Linked DNA regions of Oryzias latipes. The protein of the gene in region 1 purifies or fractionates together with the protein of each later gene. This does not show direct contact. Links are inferred from orthologs where the notes say so. Each region holds a gene or a part of one and is shown on either strand. Other genes may lie near its edges. The genes, in order: ubxn2a, ppp1r11 and ppp1r7.

Region 1 (4,110 bases):
TCCTCTATATTAGATTTGCAGTCAGCTAAGACAGAACAGCAGCTGATCAGACTTCGCTCTCTGCAGTGTGCAGCCAGTGTTGCCAGATAGAGTCACAGTTTTCCAGCCCAAAAGTCATCTAAAAACCGCCAGACCCCGCAAAAACCCGCCCAACGGGGGGGAGGGGGGGGGAAATAAGATCAATATACAGCTTTTGTAGATTTTTTCCCCTACTGGACTGATTAAGTATCCGATGCGGTGATTTTTCAAAATAAAACATTTCTTAAAATCAAAGATAGTTCAGACTATTAATAAAAGGAGTACAGTATTGCGTATTTCTTCAGCGGACCGGCCTTCTTCCATTCATTTTCTTAACCCGCTATAACCTATGTATAACCTCTTCCATCCTTGTGCTGCGCTTGCGCCAAAGCGCCCCGACTACTACCGTGTCAACCTGCTGCTATGATGACCGTATTTTGCGCTCTCTGTGTTGGACACACTGGAGGAGCGCGGGGAAAACAACTCTGAGCTACAGAGGATGTGAACAGGTGAACAGGTAGAGAGGAAAAGCAGGCAGAGGGGCGGGGGAGGGGCTTTAGCTTCAAACTGTCAGAGAGATGGAAACAAACACGGGCGTCAGATTCACACGTAGCTTTCTCTGCGGGAGTTGAAGCAGAGACTTTCTGGGACGATCTCATGAACTCAAACATGGAAACATGATTACCAAGTAGAACTCTCCAAAATATTAAACCTGATCTCTCCACATTCTCCGTGTCTACCATGCATCGATACACACAGACATCCAGCCATCAGACCATAACGTTAGCTCGTAGCTCCGCCCACACGCGACCGCGGTGTCAGCTTTAATGAACGCAACATCTAAGAGGAGGGGCGGGGCGGCAAACCCCCAACAACAGGTTAGATGACAGAACCCATTAAGCGTCTCTACCTGGTGCGTTCACGGAGCTTCAGAACATAAGACTTCAACAGCCACCCAGCCTAAAGTAGTCCGTTATTATGTATTCATGAGTGTAAAAAACCCGCCGAACAGACCCTAAAACCGCCAAAATTATGCATACCCGCCCAAAGCTATTTTTACCCGCAAATTTAGAACAAAAACCGCCCAATTGGGCGGAAAACCGCCCAATCTGGCAACACTGTGTGCAGCCTCTCTCTGACTATCATCTGTTTCTGAAGTGCTGAGCTCAGCCTGCGCGCTGCCGGTTTCACGACAACTTGGCCCAGTTTCCGGCTCTCTGACGTCACAGGTCTTGCTCAGCAGAAGAGCAGCTGGTCGTAACTTGTGGCTGCGGATGTGCAGCCCGGGATTAACCTCGAAACTGGTAAATCGGAATGCGGCTTCAGTGTGGTAGAAAAACCTCCGCTGCGTTATTTAATCATTTATTTTTATTTATTTTTTTTATTTCTTAAAGCCGTGCTTTTATTGGGATCTGCGTCTGCGTGCTTGTCAATGTCAGTGACAAATAAAACGCCAGAATGATGAATGAGCGCGCGGCCAATTTCTTTAAAATTATCCTCGGTGACTTAATGTCACTCAGTGTGCAACATGCGAGATATTAGTAGTAATGTAATAATTATAATAATAAAAATAAAGGGCATCCCATAATACGCAGCGTGTTGTTTGTAGCTATAGGCCTCGTTCATTCCTGCATGTTTTATCTTCAGATGGTAAACGAACACCGTCATGAAAGAGAATGACACGGATGACAAAGATGATCAATGGTAAGTGTTTTCCTTAAAAAAAATCCACCACCCCCCCCCCATAAATAAATAAAGAATCAGTAAAAATAAATAAAAATGTAATTTTCCCATTTGCATGTGTGCGCTTGAACGTTTTGGATCATTAAACCTATCAAAATAGACTGCAGTTACACAATAATGTGGTATTAAGTGGAAGATCCACACTTGTAACTAATATTACAATAACACCATTTTCCACAGCCTCAGCCCTCTGATTACAAGTTACCCTTTAGGATACTTGCAGCTCATTATTCCACCTCTCCATTTGTTGAAGGGCTGCCGGTAAAGACGATGAGGAGGACGTCCCCATGAGCCGCAGTTTCTCGGTTGAAGACCTCCTCGATGAGGTGGAGAAGATCTGTTATGATGCTTCAGGGAATACCAAGGTCAGACTTTGTTCCCAGTTCTTTATTATGGGAGAAATGTTTGAAAAGTATAAGAGACGCTGCTGGATTTTCCACAAACATGCGTGGAGTGTCTTCACTTAGACATGTGTAGCTCAGTCATGTCCACAGAAAATATTATTTATTTATTTTCATCGTAATAAATGCATACATTGTAATTTTTTTAAGCATCATCTTCTGATCTGTTTTCTCCGTGCTCTTTCATTTATGATGATGTCGATTTTAGCCAAAATCAAAAATCCCGTGTCTTTTACTAGGACATAGTTACTGCAGAGCTACAGCACTTCATTAAAAATACTCCCCCGAGGTGTGGACCATCGATGTGGAGCAACCCCGGCCCCCTCTTCCCATCACCCGTTTGTTTACACACTCTCCTGCTGGCGTACAGCCCCAACACTAAAGGCCCGTACACACCGGGACGAATATTCGCCAGCGTTTTTCGCCACGTTTTTTGTGTTCACACCCAGGCGATTTTCGCTGACGATGAGCCGAGCGCTTAATGTAAACAGAAATACTCCTGTACACAAGGTGGCGCTGCGCAACTTTACGCTTCTTAAAGTCGCTTTTCGCTCAGAAGAAGAGAGCAAGTATTTACGCGCTTGTCAGAATCAAACAAAGAAAACATGAATATTTCAAGCATCAGTAGCTCCAACTGCTGCTTGGTTCGGGGATATTATAGAATGTCCGTCATTATTTCTTCGCGGCAGTGTAGACGCTACTTGACGTCTATCTTCTTCGCTGGTATGTGTGCTCAGCAAGGCAGTTTTGTGTTTGAGCGCCCCCAAGTTGTGTTTTACAGTAACTTCAGAAGCTCCAGACACGTGTGCAAAAGCGCCATTCTCATTGGTCGAATAGATTTCGACGCGACGCGTCGGAAAAAAAAAACGAACCCGAGGCGTTTTTTTTTTGACGCTTTGACGCGTGGCGTTTTTTCGCGTCGGTGTGCACACTCACATTGGTGCCCTTGGTTTAGTCACGAGGCGTTAAACGTCGGCGAAAATCGCGCGCGAAATTCGTCCCGGTGTGAACAGGCCTTAACATTACCGCTGCAGCAGAGCAGCGTTGGAGCTCTGCGGCGGTACAGTTTTTAAGACAGAAGTCAGCTCAAGACGTTCATGGATCTATTTGTCTGAAAGCGGATGCATTAGAACAAATCCAGGAACTTGTGGCCCCGCCCATGCAGCGTATTCTCTACGTCACCAATACAATCATTTTGAAACATTTTTTGTTGTTTGCTCCTGATTTACATTTATTTGAATTAAGAAATACTCAGAAAGGCAATTTTGAGCTTAATTGACTTTACACATCATCAAATAGCCAGAAAAAAATGTTAAAAATACAATTGTCATCAGAGTGGGTCTTTCATGTAGCATATGGTTTTGAATGGAAAGTGTGGAGTAATGCTTGTAGACTAATTTAGTCACACACAATTTCCATTTTTATGATTTATTCATCTAAATCTTTTGGGAAACGCTGAGCTCTCCCCGTCTACTCATAGCAGGACACCCGACCGCGTTACTCTGGATCCCCCATCCCTGGTCTTTTTCAGCTCTATCTGCTGCTGATCCACTGGATCAGGTCTGGGCAGGATCTAGAACCCCCTGATCCACATAATCTGCAGGGCGGAACTAAAAACACAGAATTCAGCAGTCCTGGCTTCTAACTTCTGCAGCGTAGAAGTTCTTGAAGTGAGGGCCATCTGGGTTTTTTTATTGATAAAAAATGCTATGGAGACTGTTGTGCATGCACCAAATACTCCTATTTATAGCTCCTGGAGTTCAACTCTTTGCAGCTTTTGTTTTTTGTCAACTAAATGTTGGAAAATGGTATCTCCAGAAAGAAAAAAAGCATCCGGGTGGTTTGGTTTAATCCAGAACCCAGCAGCGCACACCTTTGCACATGGCGAGGGCTGCTTCTACTGTTGCTCTAAGCTGAGCTCTGTTGAAGTGCCTTGAAGGAAAGCAGT
Region 2 (4,140 bases), on another chromosome or scaffold:
GACGACAACAGCAAAAAATAAATAAAATAAAAGACATTTGGAGTCACCTTTCTTCATCCCAGGAGGTGTTAGGTCTCTGTAAACGACCTCCTGTGTTTGGCTCCATTTTTCCACTTTACCTTCACCACCCTAAAAGAGGCAAAAAGTTATATTAGCACAGATGGACCAATATTGACATTTATTTCACAGACAAGCTCCAAAACCATTGACTCTTATATCTAAGCCAGGCTGGTTTCCAGGTGTCTCCCTGCAAAGAACTTTAAAAAACGATGTCACTGATTTTTGCACCAAAACGGTAGGAGGGGAAGTAAATCACACACCAAAAAAAGTTTAAAAAGAGACTGGCAAATTCCTTGATTTTTTCTTAACATCTATTCCTTAATTTCCTTTCTTAACATCCATTGGATAAGACCTCTCCAGCATACCGGCTGCTGCTCGGCTGACAGGATGACCTCCTCTCGCTCCAGTCTCCGTCTCCGTTTTTCCGCGCGGGGCCGCGTAGTGGAAGAAGAGGAGGAGAGGAAGTAGTGACAAGACAGGGGACATGACAGACCCTGTGGCGAAACAGAACAGAGCCGAGACGGAGTTTTTACCGCCCGCCTCACGCCGGACAGACACGCTGTCCTCCACATCTTTACCTCCGTGTCAAAACCGGAAACCACGAAAGCGGGAGCTGCCAAACAGCTGAGAGCTTCATTATAACCACAAATTAATAGTCACCATGTCGCAAACTTATTGGAGATTTGAAAATCACCATCAAAGCCAAATAAGCTTTCAAAACAGCAAAAAAACAAAAAACAAAACAACAAGTATTATTTAAACGCCTATCACTTCCGATTCGATTGGTTCTCGTTTGAGAGTGGGGACAAAAATACCAGACGGACCGGATATACCGTCGACAAATAGTACGTTTGTAAAATCACTCCCCACTGATATAAACAAAAGTCATTTTTCAAAATAAAATGAATCGTGAAATATTTTGCTTGTGATTTTTTTACTTAGCTTTTTAACACATTCACAGAAGAAGTCCCTGCGTCTACAGGATCTTATGTAAATTTTTAATAGTCTTTGATGATAACGTTAACTGAATGGGGGAAAAAAGCACATTTACAACAGTCGGTAAACGTAAAATCGGATCGGGTCGTATGATTCAATCGTCGACGTATTTAAGAAAACACTTCAAACTTGGTGCTAGCTAACTTGCTGGGGGGTGGGGGTGGGGGACGACCACGACAATCGTGCATCTCCAGTCTATGAAGGTAGGGTCAGGAAATGTCTTCTCCGGTCTGGGCGTAAACATGAAAATGCAAGACACTGGGCAGTTTATTTTGAAAAACGGCAGCCCAGTTCCTGTTGCCAAATGTCTCTTCCGTTTGAGTCTGAGCTTACTTGTTGTGTAACTTGAATCGGGTGCACTACAGCTCTGCTGGGACATTTGCCAAGTTAAGCTTACATTGCTACCTTTTTAAACCCGTGTTTCTTTATTTCGCTCCGTCTTTGTCGCCGGTACAGCGTCATATCCGTTGCTAGGGGCGGTGGCTGGTTCGGTTCTGAGAGGAGGCTAACGGGCTAGTTAGCAGCGCTGCTACAGGATGGCGGAGGTTCCACCAGGGACATCAAGTGAAACCATCACAGAGACTGTCCAGACCAGCCCCCCGACGCAGCAGCAGCAGGTAAAGAAAGGATCGTGGGATGGTTCGGCTCAGGGTCTTCTTGTTGTGTTGTGTTTATGACGGCGGCTCTGCGAGGCCAAGCTGCTACGTCTGTAGTCCGCCTCTGACTTGGAGAAGGATGGAGTCTCTTCACAAGGCCTCCCGGCTTAATTATCGAGCTAATTGTGTGTGGGGCATCACTGTAGCCACGAATGGGTTTGGAATTAGCATATTTTGGTGGAATTATCACTTCTTTCTGTGCATTTATTTAGGAATTCTTTATTTATAGCACCACACTGGCAACAAAAACTAAGGACGAGTAGCAGCTTAGTCAAATATATTTGGACTTTACGACATATTGGATTGGGTTAAAATATGCACAGCCATTTTAGTGTAGCCATCAGAGAATATGGCTCCAAGTACTAAAGCAAGTGTTTCAGTTGTTAAAGTCAGATGGGCTGTCATTAGATTTGTAGATGATGGCTTTGCCTTTCAAGTTTCCCAAAATTGTAATCTAGTCAAGCATCCGTGGGGATGTGCTAGATCAGAGCTGCCCAATCCCGGTCATCGAGATTTGACACCCTGCCTGTGTTCCAGCTCTCCCTGCAGGTGTGTTCAGTCAGTCAGAAGGAGGAGACGCCTAAGTCAGCGTATCAGCAGAAAAAACTGGAAAACAAGCAGGATGGTAGGTGGGTTCTGAGGACCAGGATTGGGCAGCCCTGTAGTAGATGAATAAATGGGGGCCATGAAGGGCCCCCTCAGCCCATTGAACTAAAAAGATTTGCTGTTTGCTTTTTTGCAGATTTCACATCTCAGTTGTGCATTCGCTCTTTAGACAGGTAGTTAGAATTTTAGAATTAATCTGGAAGAGCAAAAACCCTTTTGGAACACGTGAACACTGGGACTTTTGGTCATTGTTTGAACCCTGGTCTGCTTGCAAACACAGATTTGCAGGTTTGTTCTGAGTTGGTTAACCTGTACGGTATGTTTTGTTTGGCAAGTGTGAAAGCTCACCCAAATTCTTTAAAGAAAAGGTTTTGATACTTTGTTGTGATTTCAGATTAACTTTTTGAGGACAGAAGAGATTAAGCTAACCAGAAGGGGCTACATAACATGAGCGGCATAAGTTTCATGTTTGCCCTGTACACAGGACTGATGGGTCCCTATGTGTTGTCAAATTCCTTTATTGCGTTTTGTGTTCATGGCACAATTGTACCAAAAATGTGGGCCAGAAGTCCAGAGAACGGTACCATGGCTCACCCATGTAAACAGGCCAGATGTTGTGTGTTCAAGATTTGAGAGTGAACTGGGGTGTGTTCCAGAAAGCAGGTTATGCTAGTTACCACTGTAAATTTGAGGCTAAGGAAGCGGATAACCTCAGCTTTCTGTTCCAAAAAAGGAGGTATGTTTCAAGGTATGTCAAGTTGCTATGGCAACTTATGCTCTAAACATAACCTGGTCTGGAGCAGGTTTAGTTGAAGGTTAGTTTGTTTTCAGAGAGGTGAAGCAGCATGACGTGTCCATTTGAAGATGATTTAGTGGATGAAGAAGCTCAGATAATTCTTTTTCCACGAGAGAGGGTGATAAGACCACGTATGGATGTTGTAGAGATAAACTTTTTTACATTAATCTAACTTAATATTTTGCTTCAGTTAAGATAAATTATGTATTTAGGTCATCTTAAAAATAACACATAGTTATCAAACAGTTAGTTTACTTTCATTCAAATTAATTCAATTAAGTAGGTGTAACTTTGGTGCTGCTGTTAAATCGGCACCGCAAGGAATTGTGGGATACCGTTCCCAAAAAGAAACATTTTCTTTTTCCTACGGGATATATATATATATACACACACGTTTGATTTGTCCACCGTTCCGATGCACCCGTAGTGCCTTTTGATGGCCGTATAATCTACCCCTTCATTAAAATCTCAGACTCAGTCTCACTGAAGTATAGCTCTCTCTTTTTTCTCCACGCGTTTCCATGGTGACTCCGGAAATCGGCGATCCACTGAGAATGTCTTTCTGTACTTGAGGTGCACGAGCATTAACCCAGGGTTACCAAGTCGAGCGTAATTACGCCAACTCATATCCGGTCTTTTGGAACCGACATACCCAGAGTAAGCAAGTTCAGGCGGATTTCAGCCAGAGTTCAGGGTTAAAGTCAGGAAAGTTTAAACATGCTTTACCCCTGTTCTTGGGGGTCAGATGCTTTCGTCACAGAACAAATCATGTTCTGTGAGTAGGTTCCTTTGGGATTTGGACCCAGCTCCTATAAAAAAAATGTAAAAAAAAAACTCTCCACCAAATTTTCAATTTTTCTAACTAGTTTTTCTATCAGATTTCCAGGCGTGATTTCTCACTTCAGGAAGCCGTGCTGCTTTGAGTCCAGTGGCTGCAGGCTGATATCACAGAGAACCCTAATAGCAAAGCAATTCAATTTGTATGGCGTGTTTAGTACACACAAGCACTTCATAGTGCTTTCATGC
Region 3 (3,376 bases), on another chromosome or scaffold:
GTGGGAGTTCTGAGACAAGTATCAGTATCAATTTTGGTTGTATTTGTATTTTTAGAGTAATCGGATTACTAAAATAGAAGGGCTTCAGAACCTTGTCAACCTGAAGGAACTCTATCTGAGTCACAATGGCATCGAGGTCATTGAAGGCCTGGAAAACAATGTGAGTTGAACTCTCTCACAGAACTTTAGAGGAAAAATTACTACTACTTTTCTTAGGCTGAAGAATAAAGTGAGGCTGAACTTTTTTTTGGTTTGTTTTTTTTACAGAAAAAGCTGACAACGCTGGATATTGCTGCCAATCGAGTAAAGAAAATTGAGAACATCAGTCATCTGACAGAACTGCAGGAGTTCTGGGTAATCATCATTTTTATTTTTTTAGTTTGCAGACTAAATTCACTGCTAACTGATGTGTCTGTTACTGTGAGATGGTGATATTAGTACTAAGAGAGCGAGCGTGTGGTTCTTCAGGTAGCTTCCAGGTCCTGCTTACTTCAGAAGACCACACAATTTATCATGTTTGGAATTTATCGAACCGCAGATCCTTCGATCGCCGGCCGACTTTCTCAACCCTTTTAGCTGCTGCCGCCTGGATCACAACTACAAGCTTTTTTCATCTGCTCCTGATTCTCAGCGATTTGAATAGAGAACTAATCAGATATGCAATTTTAAGCCTAATTGTCTTCATGTGTCTCCCATCATTAGAAAATGTACAAGAACACGTTAAAAACATGATATGTATATATGTGTCTTTTTTTAATCAGCACTTCAGGTAATGGTAATGCCTTAGTTTATTTCTATTGCACTGATGGTTGTGTTTTGGTTAAATGTCTCCACAGATGAATGATAACCAGATAGAAAACTGGTCAGATCTGGATGAGCTGAAGAACGCCAAGTCCCTGGAAACAGTCTACCTTGAAAGAAACCCGCTGCAGAAAGATCCTCAGTATCGGAGAAAGATCATGCTGGCCTTGCCCAGTGTGCGCCAGATCGACGCCACCTTTATTCGATTCTAAACTGTAGCGCGTCAGCCGCTATCCAACCTCACCGTGCACCCCCATCCCCCCCTCACACACACGCCACCTTCTCCGACACGTTTTGAAACGTTCCGTTTCCCAGTCACTCCATGTAAAATATACATTCCATCCCAAAACATATCTATGGCTCACCGAGCAAATGCTCGTATGCACACATTCTTCTCCTGATCTGTGCTCCTCTGTGGAAGCTTTTATTTATTAAGGCACAACTGTGAAAATGAAAACAACTACCCTCTACTTTAATATTTCCTCCACACTTTTTTTCTCTTCATCTGGGAGACAGAGTCGAACCGGCAGTGTCCATGAAAACAAAAACGTAGGAAGGCAGTCTCTATACTTGAAATTGGATAATGATCATTCCCAGGTTAGGCGTGTCATTATGGTCATTGTAAGGATTTCTCCGTTATGTTTATTTTTTCTTTTGGGGGAAGAAAATGCTGCTCTCATTTCTGTGCTGTTTTTTTTTCCGTTTGCATGTAGTTTAAAATGTAATCTTAACATTTGCTTCGTTGGATATTATTAATAACGTTTTGTTTTTGCTTCATTTCTAACATTTCTTGAGCAGGGTATCAAACTTAGCAGTAAGACGTCCACAATGAAGCCTTAAGACAGACTACATATTTACACCTCATTGGTTGCATAAATCTATCTTTAAGGGGGGAAAAAAACGTACTAGTGTGTAACTTTTAATAAACTGGCTGCAGCAATGAAGGGCACATTTGGATGTTCAACCTCCTTGTCCATGTTTTTTCCTGAAGAGATCACAGATTACTAGATCCATTTCCTGCTGAACAAAAAGTCGACTCTGTAAGAAAATAAAGCGTATGAGAATGTAAAACAATGCAGTGCTTCTAGGTTCAGTGGTTTGTCTTTTTTGTGGCTGCATTTTAGTTTTGAACACGCTTTTCTTCGTTTCACCTCAGCTTTTGAAAAGACTCGAACATGCAATTTGTGAAGCACAAGTTGAATGTAGAGTTTGTTTGTTTTGATCTTCTTCTTCCAGGACTGAACTCTTGTTTAGCCATTGTAAGATAAACCAGTCCATGCTCATTTTTGGCTTGTAGAATTGGTTTGAAGTATTCATGCTGTGTTTTTATCGTAGACCCATTAATGTTGGTTTGACTCGCTGGAAACAGTATTTCTGCAGTCTTCATTGTAGAATGCTTCAGTGCTCATAATGTAGTTTAAGACATTTTTTATGTAGAAATGATTCAACAACTCTGAGCTGAGAGGTCACTTAATATAGAGATGCACTAGAGGCAGAGGTGGAAAGTGCACTATTTTATTTGGAACCACTTCGACATTTCAAAACATTAAAAAAAAGGGTTTGTGTATCCTAGAACTTTAGGAAAAGGAAATCAGCTACTCAAATTTAAATCTCAATTTATTGCTTTAATTCTTAGATGTATAACAGGTGGGGCTTTTTAAAAGACTATCCTAAAGACAGTTATGCATTTCCAATACGCCTGATGAATATGCCCTTTTATTTTAAATTTTGGAACTGATCCTAGGAATCTGAAATATAAGAGCGTGGAGTTAAAAACCTGTAGATTACACCTCTCACGTCTTAAGCCTGTGCTATCATCTTCCCTTTGTAAACGTTTGTTTCTGCCAATCAGTCTAACCAATTTGTGTGATGTCAAAATTGAGATAAAGATGATGTTGCAACTCGAAGAGAATTTACAGAAACTGCTTTCAGCTTTTTATCTTAGTTTCAAATTTTTTTTACTTATTTAATGCTGTTTTTGAACTGAATGTATTATGCAAATAATAAAGTGACACTTATGAAAGGGCAAGTTTTTGTGTGGTTTTATATTGTCAAAGATATTTTGAAGCCTAATTTGACATTTAGGTTTATGATTATGCCTTAATTTGTGACAAAGATCAAAATTCTGACCTTATTTGATTGACATTGGTACCGATAAGAGCTTAATATTGTGTAGAAGGTGCACAACTGACTTTTATGTACATTATATGAATGAAATCTGTAGTAATATTTTCTGTGCTATATTTTTACTATAGTATGTTTCTCAAATTGGTTAAATCCACAAAGTTGTGAGCATTTAAAATAAACCTCGTTTAGACAGCTTTTGTCACATCAGGTTTTTTTTATGTTAAGCTTTCTTGGCATTAATACCTAAAGTTTAAAAACTAGCTATGTAACTTTTTTTTAATTGCATTTTTTTATCTGTTCATAATCCATCTATATTTGAACAAAGAAGTACTCAGAAATGCAGTTCTGATCTTAAACCATTTTATATATGTATTTCAAACACCAAGTGCACGATTTTCATTGGAGAGGGTCTTCAAACCGTTATCATTACACTTTTCAAGTCTTATTT

The links.
Region 2: the proteins of ubxn2a (region 1) and ppp1r11 purify together in Homo sapiens (affinity purification with mass spectrometry; 3 studies listed by BioGRID and IntAct, counting the BioPlex papers as one, with this or other methods). This does not show direct contact. The link is inferred for Oryzias latipes from reciprocal best matches to the Homo sapiens genes UBXN2A and PPP1R11.
Region 3: the proteins of ubxn2a (region 1) and ppp1r7 purify together in Homo sapiens (affinity purification with mass spectrometry; 3 studies listed by BioGRID and IntAct, counting the BioPlex papers as one, with this or other methods). This does not show direct contact. The link is inferred for Oryzias latipes from reciprocal best matches to the Homo sapiens genes UBXN2A and PPP1R7.

What each region holds. Positions count from the first base shown.
Region 1 is NC_019882.2:2,952,810-2,956,919, forward strand, and holds the start of ubxn2a (UBX domain-containing protein 2A), read left to right. Parts: upstream 1-1,197; 5' UTR 1,198-1,322; intron 1,323-1,665; 5' UTR 1,666-1,684; coding exon 1,685-1,722; intron 1,723-2,014; coding exon 2,015-2,126; intron 2,127-4,110. UniProt on the Homo sapiens protein: Acts to repress the ubiquitination and subsequent endoplasmic reticulum-associated degradation of CHRNA3 by the STUB1-VCP-UBXN2A complex in cortical neurons.
Region 2 is NC_019869.2:21,521,682-21,525,821, reverse strand, and holds the start of ppp1r11 (E3 ubiquitin-protein ligase PPP1R11), read left to right. Parts: upstream 1-1,339; 5' UTR 1,340-1,592; coding exon 1,593-1,673; intron 1,674-4,140. Other genes in the region: vars2 (valine--tRNA ligase, mitochondrial), read right to left, coding at 48-129, 426-632. UniProt on the Homo sapiens protein: Atypical E3 ubiquitin-protein ligase which ubiquitinates TLR2 at 'Lys-754' leading to its degradation by the proteasome.
Region 3 is NC_019875.2:24,809,929-24,813,304, forward strand, and holds the end of ppp1r7 (protein phosphatase 1 regulatory subunit 7), read left to right. Parts: intron 1-55; coding exon 56-160; intron 161-267; coding exon 268-354; intron 355-836; coding exon 837-1,013; 3' UTR 1,014-2,830; downstream 2,831-3,376. UniProt on the Homo sapiens protein: Regulatory subunit of protein phosphatase 1.